Notamacropus eugenii: one gene and its partner. The protein of the gene in region 1 purifies or fractionates together with the protein of each later gene. This does not show direct contact. Links are inferred from orthologs where the notes say so. Each region holds a gene or a part of one and is shown on either strand. Other genes may lie near its edges.

Region 1 (7,281 bases):
CCCGCTAGGACATTTGGTACTAGGGGAGTGATATATTTAAAAAAAAAAAAAAAAAAAAGATTGGAAGGGATGGCTTTCTCCTTGCTTTTATCTACTGTCTATAGGCAGCTGCAATGTGAGAAAAAGGCTTAGGGCTTTCGTTAGGGCTTTGTTAGGGCTACTGAAAACCACAGCCCTCTTGTCATATATTTCAGCTTCGCTGCCTCCCTGATCGTGGTAATACCCTCCACTCTTGGTTTCAAAAACTCCATATTCTCTTGGCTCTCTCCCACTTCTTTGTCTGATCAGTGTTTCATTCACTCACTCTTCTTCTTCCTGATAATCTCTTGTGGTGCTTATTAAGTCTTGTATTGACTTTTGCACATATTACTTCCAAAGCTCTATCTCTAGCCTTAACTTCTCTCTAAGGGTCTAGACCTGTATCTTTATTGTTTATACAGTTTCTTTGGCTTTCCCACTGGCATCTTCAACTTCACATGTCCAAAAGCAAGCCTGTCATATTTCTGCAAGAAGCTGATCCCTCATTTTATCTTGTTGTAGTTGTTGTTCATCTTTTGTTTTTGAAGAGGACCAATGACATCACAGGGGATATCTTGACTTTTTATGTGAATCAGATTTAAGTGAGGTAGAGTTGCACAGTCATCAGCCTTAGTCTCTCTTTCTGAGTCACCAGAGTCTAATTCTAAGACAAAAGTCAAGATGACTGGTGATGGCCCAGGTTGCAGTAGATGCCCTTGGTGTCTTTGATGCCTGATCAAGCTTTAAGTGCTTGGCAGTGCCTGCTTCAGCTACCTTCATGGTCCTTGGAACAAAATGTTCTCATCTGCCCATTCTGTCTGGGAAAGTCTTCACATGATAGAGGTAGTATTTCCAACAATAGAATTGCCATTTATTCAATCACTGATTTAAAAGCCTTGGGGTTATCTTTGACTCTTTCATCTCTCTCACACACAAATTCAATCAGTTGCAAAAATCTTATTTTTTTTCCTCCACAGCATCTTTCACATCCTTTCCCTGTTATACACTGATATAGGACATCCTCATTACCTGTATGGATTATTTACTTTTTCGCTTCTCTGATTCATCCTTCCCAGTATTGTCTTGCTCTATAACCATTCTACTATTGAGTGGGATGATTTTCAATATACTTTCTTTATTGGGGGTGTGTGTGTTGTGCAATCAAGGTTAAGTGACTTGCCCAGGGTCACACAGTGAGTGACTCCAGGATCAATACTCTATCCACTACACCACTTAACTTGCCCCTCAATATACTTTCATCTTCATTGGAAATTTATTTGAGATTTGAACCTTGATATCTATTTGCATGAAACTTGATTTATAATTTTTATTAATACTCAAGATAAATCACCCAGCACTTGCTACTTTCAGTTCCTCTCCTCTTTCTCCTTCCTGAAACCTCTGCAGGCTGGCTTCTGGCTTCTCACTTCATCACTCAAGTGAAACTGTTCTCTCCAGTTACCAGTGCTTGCTTAATTGCCAAATCTGATAGCCTTTTCTCAGTCTTCATCCTTCTCAACTTATCTGCTGCTTTTGACACTGTTTACCACCCTCTCCTCATAGATAACTCTCTCCCCTCTGGGTTTTCATCATACTATTATTCTCTCCTGGTTCTTATTCCACCTGCTTGACTAGTCTTTCTCTGTCTCCTTTATAGGCTCATCATCCACATCATATTCTCTAGCTGAGTGGCTTAATAAATGCTTCTTGAGTGATAGAAAACTGTTTCCCATAGGAATCATAAGATCATATAATTCAGGGAATTCTACAAGGGACCCTAAACTTCACCCAGGCCAATCTCTCATTCACATTAGGGAAGAAAAAACTAGGGTCCACAGATATGTAATGGTTTGCTGAAGATCACACAGTGGTGGCAGAGCCATCTTGAACCCACGTCCCCTCATTTCCAAATTTATTCTCTTTCCACTACATGCAAGTCATGGTAACATGTAATTTGAATGTTTCCTAAGGGAAGGCTGTGTTTGAAATCTGCAAAATTGGGGGTAATTTGAATATCTTTGGTTCCACGAGAGGCAAAACATTCAGCATGACTGAATAGTACAAACAGGATAGAATTTGTCTTAATTGCTCTCATTGGAAGTCTATGAGTTTGTCCTTGGTAAAAAACAATCTTAAATACAATGAGACCCAAGATATAGGCTTTTAGGGGCTTTGTTTCCTTTAATTTTATTTCTCAGCTTCACTGAGATTTCACTTACGTTTGCTAGATTTATTCAAGGAAATAGGGAAAGAAGCTTTGGATGAAGAACAGTAGACATTTGGACACTGAGGAATCTTACACTGAAAGCATAATATGGCAAAGATTACATATTGTGATATAAGAACATCCATTGAGAAATGTCATATATAATCCGGTATTCACCTATCTGGAGTTATCAAGGGGGAATTTATATAATTTATAAGCCATCATGACTTAAAAAAAATAAATCACCAGCTGCCTCAGTAAACCCCACCCAAATTCAGCTATATGCAGCTTCTCTTCCTGTTTTTTTTTTTCCCAACTCTCCAGTAAATATGGATTTGGCATTTGGAACAAAGCTAATACTATTGACAGAGAAAACAGTATGGTTCTTGCCCTTGGTTGGAATGGTGCCTATAGTGCAGATGGGTAGGAATAAAAACCTCATTCTTTATTGAGTAAGCAGCTGTCACTCAAATAACAGGAGAAAATGTTTAATATTCCCAATTTACTGTCTTTTCTCTGAGGCTGTCTCATCAAAATATTACATCAAAACCAAACATGGCACAGAGCCCACATGGTCCAAAAAGGGCATAACCTTGTAGCTTGGGTGACCCTTTAGCTTCACAGTATCCTGTTCCCTTCTTTTGCATGACAGCTGAGGGCATATTTATCAGTCCCTTCTTTCTTTGCTCTTAGGTGTGAAATCCTGTGTGAAAGAAGCTGTCTTTATCCTACCATTCCACTACACCAGGCATGCCACAGAGTAAATGTCACCTGTGATGTTCATCACAGAACACCCTTGGGAGAGAGACTTCCAGCTACAACCCTCTATAGCATTTTGCTATCTTTTCATTTGTTCAGTCTGCTTTTTTGCCTTTGACTGTGCTTGTCTTAGCTATCAGATATAAGAGGGACAATCATAAATCAAAAAAAATCCTTTGTTTATTTGTCTCTTTCCTGTTAGAACACTCATGGCTCATTCTTTTGGTTCTGCAGAAACACATGTGAAAAGAGAACAGAAGCATACAGCAAAATCTATGTGCCTACCAGTAAGATTTAATTAAAGTCTTAAAACAATCCTTCTGAAACAACTTCCCCATTTTTTCCCCTTGAAAGGAAGAATCAGATCAGTAAGAAATGATCAGAGGTATCATTTTGTCCTTGAATTTATTCCTGCCTGTCTCCCTCATTATTATAGTTTTGCAACCGAGCTTGGAGAGAAATTTCGACATGAAGTTGTGAGAGATGATTAGATTATGTGTTTTAAAAACAATCCAGTTTCTAGGATTCTGAAATAACGGTGAAGGTAGCTTTTTTGGTAAGATTTCTTTTTCTCCCTTTCTGTCTCCCTTTGTCAAAATTGATGACCTAAAGGGAGACTGACTGGTTTTTCCTTCAGTGCCACAGTCAAATGACATAATATGCTTTAGGGCAACATATAAATATGTGCTGGAAGCTTAGTATGTTTATTCTTTAAAATTTTTACTTAAGACTTATAATTTCCTTCATAATCTTGGCCCATCAGCTTGTGAGCATTCTCATTGAATCACAGATCCCAGGATGATGGACTCTCCTCTACAACAGGAGCAAGGAGTTCTCCTTTGTGTTCAAATCCAAGACTTAAATATGTTTTATTTCAGGACCCTGAGAGGTCTTAAATGCAGTATATGACAACCTGGAGGAAACTGGGCTACGAGAAAAAGGTGAGGCAATAAGGTGTCAGAGGAAAGAGCACCTATACTGGCGTCAAATCACCTACACTTGAAGCCCGACTCCCACGGCTGGAATTATGACCAAGCTATTTCGTCCCTAGGAAAGCAGTTTCAGTCTCCCGTCTTTATTTGAACTCAGTTTCCCCGTCTGAAAACTGATGGGGCTGGGCTAGATGGTGTTCTAATTGAGCCTCCCAGCCCATGCTGCCAAGAGGCTCCTGGGCAGGGAGCGGCCAGGTCGGGACGTGCCACCGCAGCTGCCAGACACTGCAGCATTGCCATGGCAGCAGGGCTTTGCCGCATCCACTGCCGCAGCCTCAGCCGCAGCCGCCCGGGGCCTCAGGAACAGCACGAAACCTTCCCCCCAGCCCCCCTCTCCAGCCCCACCCCGCACAGGGGCTGCAGAGAAAGAGGGCGCAGCTGCAGAGGCGCCTCCCCACCCCCTCCTCTCCGCCCACGTGAGGAGTCTGGGGCTAGGAAAGGGGGAGACAAGACCGACTAGTCAGAAGAGGCGGAGGAAAGGAGAGGAAGAGGACGAGGAAGGGAGTGCAGCAGAGGCGACAGGAGGAGCCCGACGAGAAGAGGTGGAGCTCGGGCAGACCGAGAGACAGGCGGACGGACGGAGAGGAAGAAGGAGACAGGGAGGAAAAGGGAGACCGAGGCAGACAGTCTAGCCTGAGGGACAGTCTGGACGCGTAGCGTCTAGAACGAGACCAAGAGAAAAAGAGAGAGGGAAAGAAAAACATATATATAAAAAGAGAAATAGAGAAAGCAAGAAAGGAGAGCCACAAGAAGAAAGATTGTGGACGAGCAGGTGAGAGGGTCGGGGGTCGGGAAGGACCCGAAAAAGAAGGGGGGAAGAGAGGAGGAACGGGGGAAGGCTGCAGAGTAGGACCAGAGGAGAAAGGGGCCAAGGCTAGAAGGGTCCCTGGGGAAGGGGGTGGGGTTCGACAGAGAGGGACTTTGAAGGGGGGAGGGGCGCTGGTTTCCCCTTTAAGGTTGCCTAGGGCAACCACCTTGACCAGACCGAGGCCCATTGACGTCAGTGATCTTGCTGTGATTGGTCGTGGCTGGTTAGTTTCCGGTGGGAGGGGGGAGCTTTCAGGCTGTCGAGAGCACCTGAGAACCGCCACAGTGGAGGGGGGCGACGCAAAACGTGTTCAAGACGGCTCCCAGCCGCCCACTCCTGGGACCTCTGAGCATGCGGTTGCCAGCACGTCGGTAAGTGGAGCGTGTCCGGGGTCCGGCCTCGGTCGCGCTTCGCTGCCGGGCCGATCCGTTTTGTTGCGGCTGGAGGGATCCAAGATGGCGCCTCGCGGAGCGCTCTGGGGAAGGGCCGCACCCACCCGTTCTTTCCCCTCCCCCTTCCCCGCCAGGCCTCCGGGGCTGCGCCCGCCCCCCGCCCTCGCTGCTGTATTCTGTAGCCCTCCGCCACCAGACGAGAAGCATTCACCTTCGGTTCCCTCCGCCTACAAATCGCACCCCTCCCTTTTCGGCTCGCGCGCGCCCTCCCCTGGCTCCGCCCATCCCCGAGCCCCCTCCTTCCTCGTTCCTGCGGTTCTCTGACCCCCACCTCCCGATGCTGAGAGAGAAGAGCATCCGAATCTGATCCAGTACAATAAAATATGTGAAAGTGGTCTGCGAGCTTTCAAATGCTATACATCTGATACCTTTCAGTGTGGTTGAGAGACTGAGGTGAGATATTGGTTAGGGGGCTTTGCAAACCTTCAAGCGATATATAAATGTTAACTATTATGGCTGTTATTATTGTTACAATCGTATGCTATTATTCTTATTACCCGTTCCTCTAACACAGATCCTAAACAAGTCTTTGTTAATGAAACTCCCCTGACGGCATTTTGTTTTAACTCCACCCCGCTTCTTGTCATCTAATGCACCTTCTTCTCCTTTTTCCCCCCATTGAGCAGTATTTCCCTCCTCTTCCTTTGTTCTTCACCTACCTCTAAACCGGGTTTACACATCTCTCTGCTCCTGCCTTCTCCCTTCCCCCCCCATCTCTCTTTTCCTCTACTGTTGTTGCCTGCCAGCTACTACTGGAATGGTAATTTGGCCTCCCCTTTTCATTCTTTTCCGGAGTCCCTGTGGGCGTAAATGAAATGAAATGCAGTATTCTGCTGTTCCTCAAAACTAAACCAAACCAAAAAACCCAAACTGATGCGTGGTTAAATGGCCCAGGTTACAGTCTTGATTCTCCTGCTACGGGCGTAGTCTTGAACAATTCTCTTGAATGTCTCTATCTCCCCTGCCCCACATGAAAGTAGGAACACATTTTTTCCTTTTGGGAGTAATTTATTCTCATCTGGAGTCGTAACAAAAGCACAGTTCGTTTTATACAGGAAAAATGGTAAGATCCCACAATAGTTACAACGTAGCTTTTGTGTAATGGCTACAAAATCATTAGTTTACTTCCATTGTAACGCTGTGCCCCTTCTCCCTCAGGCTTCTGTTTTTTAGCATCGGCTCAGCCTTTGGTAGGCTGCCTTCTTAATAGGTATTGTTCTGAACCAGAAAGATTTTGTCAAAATAAGATGTTAAATCTCTTATTTGACAGAAAACCATTTAAACTGAAGAGGTATTGCTGCTGAATTTCTGAATAAACGAAGTTTCGGACACAAGTAATACCCATATGAGCATGGCAAGCTGTAAAACAACCACCACCAAAACTTTAATTTTGTGCTATTATGGAAGATTCAAGAAGTTTGTCTTTAACATGAGAACTTCATTTCCAAGCAATATATCTTCAGCTTGGCAAGAACGTTTCTCTGTGTCAAAATGGAGGCTAACCCAAGCAGGAAAGCTGTTAACCCCACTAGGCAGTGCTCTAGACTGAGAATCACAAAGCAGGGATTGCTAACGGCTTGAAATGCAGTATCTAGAATAATTAGCCTTTTGGGGGAGCTTTTGTAGTTCTAGAGTCTTAAAAATAAATCTTTCCAATCAGGTGATGGCACATGTTTGGGTTATTCAGAGATTCAAGTGATTTCAGATTTTTTCTTCTCATTTTCTTGTGGTCTCTTGGTTCATTATTAGAGGCCTCAGTTTCCTTATCAGTAAAACAAAGGTGTTGGCCTTGATTACCTCTGAGTTCCCTTCTAATCCATGATCAGGTGTTTTAAAGCATTGTGCTGCTATTGTGATTTGACTCGGAAGAGTCAGGGTTGATATTTATAATTTAATGTGTTTTTATAGTGATAACTTTTGTCATATATACATGAAATGATTTCAGACTTTGAAAGGTAAAGGATCTAATTTAACTCTGCAGTTGCTGGTTTTCTTGATTTCTTGACATGCAGAGTCACTTCCCCTAGTACTTGTAAATAAGAGTGA
Region 2 (7,002 bases), on another chromosome or scaffold:
AGACCAGTTTTGAAAAGAGAAAAAAAAACTGATCATGAAGGGGGAAAAAAGGTTGTGGTAGGCAAAACAATACAAAAACTGAGGTATTCATTAATAAATGGAAAGTAATTCTTACTGCTGAAATCCATTTTTTCTATCACAGCTAAACCAACTCTTAATAGAAGAAATTCAAGTGAGCCTGGGTAAGATCCGGGCAATTAGATCACAATCTGGAAAACATCCACCCACAAAAAGTCTTTTTGGAGATTTTTAACTTCCAATGGGTCTGAAAGTCTTGGCCCTATTCTATATTCTATAATTCTATAAAGAATTATAAACACTAATATAGTGATATACTGAGAAGCGGAATTGTTCTGGAATTACAAACATCTTAAATGTAGCTGTAATACTATCAACGTAACTTTGTACCATGTTACATAGTCACTAATGGTTAAGAACTTTATTTAATAGAAAAAAGTAATAAACAAATGTCATGGCCTGGCAACTGGCCTGACTTAAGCCCCATTAAAAATCTATGGGATGTAATCAAGGTCAGACTTGGAAAAACAGACTGTTCAGTAAAGGTACACTTAATATCAAATGTGATTAAGTGTGAATTAAAGTATGTGTCAAAATCTTGTGAACTCAGTCGCAAATCATGTAAAACAAATAAGAGCAGCAAAAAAGTAGATTACATATTAAAATTTTTAAAGATGTAAAAAGTTGTAACATATATGCTGTGTCAAATATATTTTCTATTTTAATTTTTCTAGTTAATTTACAAATCAATATAAGTACATATGAAACTGTCATAACCTATTTTCACATGGATATCTATGTAGGATGCAATATAGACCCAAGTCACTGAAAACTTTCTGGTAAGAAAGTTTTTGTCTTGAGTACATCTAGAGTGTCGTTATAAAAACGACTGTATTCCAACATCAAATCTTTTTTTAAAAATTGGTTAGTTTGAATAGTTCAGAATCATTATGTATTTTAAAACTTTATCTATAACTAAGTCCCATAATTACTGTATTTGACACTATCCACACACTACACATAAAAATTATATGAATCTTATGCTACACAGAAATCTGTTGTCTACCTAGAATCAACATTCTTTATATCTGTTAAACCAAAGAACAGAAAAGAAATGTAGAAGTATGTAAAAGCAAAAACTTCCTTACATTAAAAAATATCCTTATGCCAATATATTTAATCATTTTAATTATGCAAATTACGAAATGGTACACAGATAAAGGCAAGGTACTTTAAAGGAATAAACCAAACTTATGTTTATCAAAATTCATTTTATATTCATCAACCACACAGGGTAGATCCCCAGGACCAACTTTTGTGAAACCATGGATACTCAGGATAGCCAGGAATAGATGAATGGAGATCTGCATTACTGAAGTCCCAAAAGATGAGATCACAGATCTATATGAATAGTTATCAATAGTCAAATAAGGTCTACAGCTAATCAGAATACTTGTTGAACTGTTATTCCACATAGAACAAATAGAGGAGAAAAGCTAAGAACTGCATTAAGAGTTTTCAGTGAATGAAGTACATAGTTTTCAAATACAAAAATACTTCTAACAGATTTCTTTAAAATAAATTTGGACAAAATGGCACCAGATCATCTCAGCCTTCACTTTCCAATTCAACAAACGATAGAGCCAATTACAAGCTAACAGCACTACTTCCCCTTAGTCATAAAGCTGTAATGACATGTAAATGGCTACACTATTCATTATTACTTATAATCAGCTGCTTATGTATCAAATGAACTCTTTTGCAGAATCAGGAGTGTTCTTTAATATTGTTAGTGTAAAGTCAATTTTTAAGGTATATCTATTTTCTGATGAGTAAGGCAAGAATCAAGCAAGTCTGGCACCAGAGAATTCTGATGATCAAGGAAAGAATAAAGTGGAACCTCAAGTTGGCTAAGAGATAGACACCTACTACGGTGCTATTTATAACTATGGAATTTGAATGGAGACACTGACCTTTTCTTTTCTGTATATGAAATATATTCACTGACTTTGGGGGTAAAATGCTGAATTCCAAACAGGCTCCGGGTTTATGTCCATAAATTTAAAAGCCACATCTGAAAACTTTTGTGGGTCCATTATGATAAACATGTTCTCTGTCATCCAATTCTCCAGTTGCTAAACAGGTATTTAAGTTGCCACCTCAAAAGGCCAAGTTTGCTTTAACTTCAGGGAATTTAGAGTACCACAGACTACCTGACTTTAAAAGCCCAAACAGATTAAAAGATTAAGATTATTATTTTTTTAAAATCATCTCCTCCACCACCTGCCCTTGTTTCCATCCTCTCACTGCAGCCTACCTACCCATGTTTGCGGATTCATTTTAACAAGGAAAAGGGTCCACTGCTGAATAATTCCTGACTTCTCTGCACAGCTGAAGCAGCTTTCCCTTGCACGGACCCAGCACTTTCTCCAACCCCAAGGATATAAAAAGAAGCCAGCCCTGTATGGCCACAAAAGGGGAGCACGGGGGGCACCAAGGGCTCCTCTCTCTGCTACCTGCCATCCCCATCCGCAGGAGTCGGGGTCCTTCCTCCTAACTTCCACTCACCCCACACTCCACTTCGCTAAAAGGAGCCGTTTCCGACTGCACCTCGCAGAGGCCTGCACCCGCAGCTCCTCCCCAGGCCGGCTCCACGAGGGGGGGATTCCGCCGGCAGGACCGGGACCAGGGACACTTCTTTCTAAAATGGCAGGTTTCCTCCCCAACGTATACATGCACACCTATGTAATTATTATACACGCACACGCGGCCTCCCTCTCCCTTCGCCCTGTATGTCACTGCAAGTCCTAGCTGGGGAGCCCGGCCTAGGACGGGGGGAAGGAAGGCTTCAGTGCCCGGGAGAGGCCTGCGGCCGGGGCCGGGGGCAGAGAGGGGAGGGAGGCTCCGGACACTCACCGAGACGACGGCGGCCGATGTCGGCTCCTGCTCCCCGGCTTCCCGCAGTTACGGTCCCATCCGAGGGCCTCGGGCTCCAGCACCGCCCCGGCCGCCTCTCTCCGCCCCCGGCACTTCCCGGCTCCACTCACCGGCCACTGCGTCTCAGGCTCCAGAGACCAGCAAGGCGACAACCCCCCTCCCCGGCAAATACCGCAGTCCCCGGCCTCGGAGGATCAGTCAGGCGGCGGGGCGAGGCCGAGCTAGGCCGGGCGAGGCCGGGCGCGGCGGGGAGGGCGGCGGTGGCGGCGGCCTCTCCCCGGCGGCCGCGGCCCGGGGTCCCTCAGTCTCCGCGGCTCCCGGCTCCTTTCCGAGTAAGATTTTGTAAATCTCACAAAATGGCGCGCGCTCCAAACCTGCGCAATGAGAAGCGCCGGGGCCGGGGCGGCGGCGGCGGCGGCGGCGGCGGCGGCTTATCCGCCAGAAAAGTCCTAGCCGCCCGCCCCCCGAGAGATCCTCCTAGCACGGACACACACGCACACGCACACACACACGCACACACACGCGCGCACACACTCACATTCACACTAGTTCTCCTCTCTCCCCTTCTCTCACAGACACTCACCCACACTCACTCTCACGCTCACACACACTCGCACTCTCACACACACACTCGCACTCTCACACACTCACACACTCACACACACACCGGTCTCTCCCGCAGCAGCGGCGGCGGCGGCAGCAGCAGCAGGAACAGTAGTAGCAGGAACAGCAGCGCCCGTGGCACCCGCACCCCCAGCTCGAGGTGTCCGCTCCCCGCGCCGGCCTGGGCCTGATCCACCGCAGCCACCGCAGCAGCCTCCCGGATTCCCCCGCCGCAGTTGCCGCTACCGCCCCCACCTCACTCCCAGGGAGCTTTTTATTATTATTCGGGCGGGAAGCGAAAGGGTTTAAAAAAAAACCCTACCAACAAAATGGCGACTGACCGACCCGGTCGCTATGGCAACTGTCAATCAAACAGCAAAACCCCGGCTGACGTGCTGACGTCCTCCTCCTACCCCACTTCCCCAAACCGGCGGGCGGGGCCTGTCGCCGGGGTAACGGCGAATTCCGTTCCCTCCTTTTCCTGGCTGCCTCCCTTCCCCCCACCAACCACCCAACCCCCTTCGGTCACGTGAAGGATAAATTCGGCGCTGTTTTGCTGCCAAGTGTCAGAGGAGGGCGCGTGATTCACTCTGGGGAGGGGGCAGAAGGAAGGAAGGAGAAGAAGGGAAGGATGACTAGAGGTGTGATGGGGTGGGGAAAGCAGAGAAGGAGGGAGGAGGGAGCGGATCCCATTTTTGTATTTCTAAGTGCTGCATTTGTAGAGGGAGAAAGAGATTCTGGCTCCACGCGCGCGCAGACACGCGCACACACACGCACACACGCACACACACACACACACACACACACACACACACATCTAACACACATTCCCAAACCCCGCCCCAAACGAGGCTGGCCACCAGAAATCTGGAGAGCTGCCACCCACCGGACTAGAGTCTGGCGTCCTCCCCATAATGCACAGCAGCTTCGGGGAGGGCCCCACTGCAGGCACTGGGAGGCGGGGGTGGAGACGGGGAAGACTAGCTGAGCCTCCGGAGTCCGGTGCCCCGTGCCCCGTGCCCCTCCCTGGCGGCCCCGCCCGCCGCACTCACCTCCGAGAAGAGAAGCCATCCCCCGGGCCGGCCCTGGGCGCCCTAACCAAGAAGCGGGGCCGGGAGACCCGCGTTGGAGCCCGGAGTTCTGCAGTCTTCACGTGGAAGTGTCACGCCGACAGCAGCCTGAGGACCGGCGTCCAGGACGGGAAACCCCGTCCCCCAGAAGGGGGGCACGGGGGAACCCTGGGTTTTTTTCCTTTCTCGTCCACTTACCTGAGTATTTCGTGTGCCCCACTTGGTGAAAGCGAGCTGTCCCGGTATGCTTTTTTAAAGGCATATGACCCAGGAAGGGATGAAAGTCTCAACCTGGAGCTGGGCTCATAATTGGTGCCTTCTGCATAGTCAGATCTGAATAAAGCAAGCCAAGAATGCCCTTGCTTCTGACCACCCAGATTAATTCACTGACACAGTGTGTGTGTGTGTGTGTGTGTGTGTGTGTGTGTGTGTGTGTGTGTGTGTGTGTGTGTGTGTGTGTGTGTGTGTGTGTGTGTGTGTGTGTGTGTGTGTGTGTGTGTGTGTGTGTGTGGTGTGTGTTCGCAAGAGAAAACCTATCCCTCTCAGCGAGTCTACTTGCGGTTAAAATATCCACGGATACACTTACCTTTTCTTTAGCCAGCCATAGGATACAATTGTTTCAAAGCAAAGACATTTAAAAGTCACATGCCGAGTTACGATTTCAAGGTACAAAATATAGATACAGTATCATTGGGGAGAATGGACACGCGCACACACACACACACACAAGGGGAACGTGTAGAAGGTAACTTGAACCTCTCATGCTGCAGGACCATGAATTTCTCCTGTTGGCATGATTCAACAAGCATTTATTGAGCTCTTACTGTGTACCAGGCACTATGCTAAGCACTGGGGATACAAAGAAAGGTCAAAGACAGTCCCTGCTGTCAAGGAACTAAAGACAGTCTAATGGGGAAGACAAACAAGATGCAGACAAGAGAAACTGGAGATAATCCACAGAGATAAGACATTAACATTAAAGGGGATTGGAAAGGCCTTTTGCAGAAGATGGGATTTTGCCTGAGATTTGATGGAAGCCAGGGATGTTGGGCAGCAATAAGTAAAAAGAGTTCCACTCATGGGGGACAGCCAGTGAAAATGTGCAGTCAGGAGATGGAGTTCCAGCAACAGCAAAGTGTATCACAGAGTGCATGAAGGGATGTAAAGAGTAAAAGGACTGGAAAAGGAAGAATGAGCAGGTTATGGAGGGCTTTAAAAAGCCAGAGGATTTTGTAACTTGTTCCAGGAGACAAAAGGGAGTTAGTGTAGTTGATTGAATGGGGAGGGGATAGGATGATATGGACAAACTTGCTCTTTAGGAATATTAATTGGTTCTGGAAGATGGAGTCTTACTGCTTCTCTCACTGGACTTGTCACTCTCACCTCCTCTTGGTGGATTCTTGGTGGCCACCAACCGGTCATCTCAGCTGAAATTATCTTACCAGCTAACAAAAGCCAAGTTGAATACCTCCAGGTCTCTTTTCGAAACCTATGTATAAGTGGAGATCTCAACCTTCCATTAGCTAATCACTCTCTAACCTATCTGATTTAATATGCAAAAGAATTTGATCAGAAAAATGGTAAGCTAAGAAGGCAAGCCTTTCCACTCACTCCACTCCTGCCTTTACTGTCCACAGCTATCGGCTGTATTTTGATTGACTGAAAAATTTTGCTGTCTCCCTACATAAATGATTGCTGTGGTTGTTGTTATTAAGGCACTCAGTTGTGATGCCACAGACCATAGCACAACAGGCTCTTCTGTCTCCTAAAATCTATTCAAACTCATGTTCATTATTTCTATGATACTATCTACCTATCTCATTCTCTGTCATTCCCTTCTCTTTTTTTTGTCTTCAATCTTTCCCAACATCATGGTCTTTTCCAATGAGTCCCATCTTCTCATTGTGACCAAAGTATTTAAGCTTTAGCTTTTGTATTTGACCTTCCAATGAATAGGTTGAATTAATTTCTTTAAGTATTGACTGATTTGATCTCCTTGCTGTCCAAGGAACTTTCAAAAAGTGTATTCCAGCACCAAAATTCTAAAGTGTCAATTCTGTAGCACTCAGCTTTTCTTTTACTCCAGTTATCATAACCATACATTGCTAGTGGAAAAGCCATAGCTTTGACTACATGAACTTTTTTACTGGCAAGGTGATGTCTCTGCTTTTTAATATGGTGTCCAAATTTGCCATAACTTCCCTTCCAAGAAGCAAGTGTCTTTTAGTTTTATGGCTGCAGTCACCATCTGCAGTGATCTTTGAACTCAAGTGTATAAATTCTGACACTGCTTTCATTTCTTCTCCCTTTGTCAGAAATTGATGGGACCAGTTGTCAAGATCTTAGAATATTTGATGTTAAGGTTTAAACAAGC

Evidence for each region.
Region 2: the proteins of PRKAR1A (region 1) and DYRK1A purify together in Homo sapiens (affinity purification with mass spectrometry; 6 studies listed by BioGRID and IntAct, with this or other methods). This does not show direct contact. The link is inferred for Notamacropus eugenii from reciprocal best matches to the Homo sapiens genes PRKAR1A and DYRK1A.

Annotation. Positions count from the first base shown.
Region 1 is NC_092873.1:331,704,472-331,711,752, forward strand, and holds the start of PRKAR1A (cAMP-dependent protein kinase type I-alpha regulatory subunit), read left to right. Parts: upstream 1-4,195; 5' UTR 4,196-4,747; exon of another isoform or gene 4,748-5,154; intron 5,155-5,248; exon of another isoform or gene 5,249-5,628; intron 5,629-7,281. UniProt on the Homo sapiens protein: Regulatory subunit of the cAMP-dependent protein kinases involved in cAMP signaling in cells.
Region 2 is NC_092876.1:420,706,421-420,713,422, reverse strand, and holds the start of DYRK1A (dual specificity tyrosine-phosphorylation-regulated kinase 1A), read right to left. Parts: upstream 3,065-7,002; 5' UTR 2,935-3,064; intron 1-2,934. UniProt on the Homo sapiens protein: Dual-specificity kinase which possesses both serine/threonine and tyrosine kinase activities. Exhibits a substrate preference for proline at position P+1 and arginine at position P-3.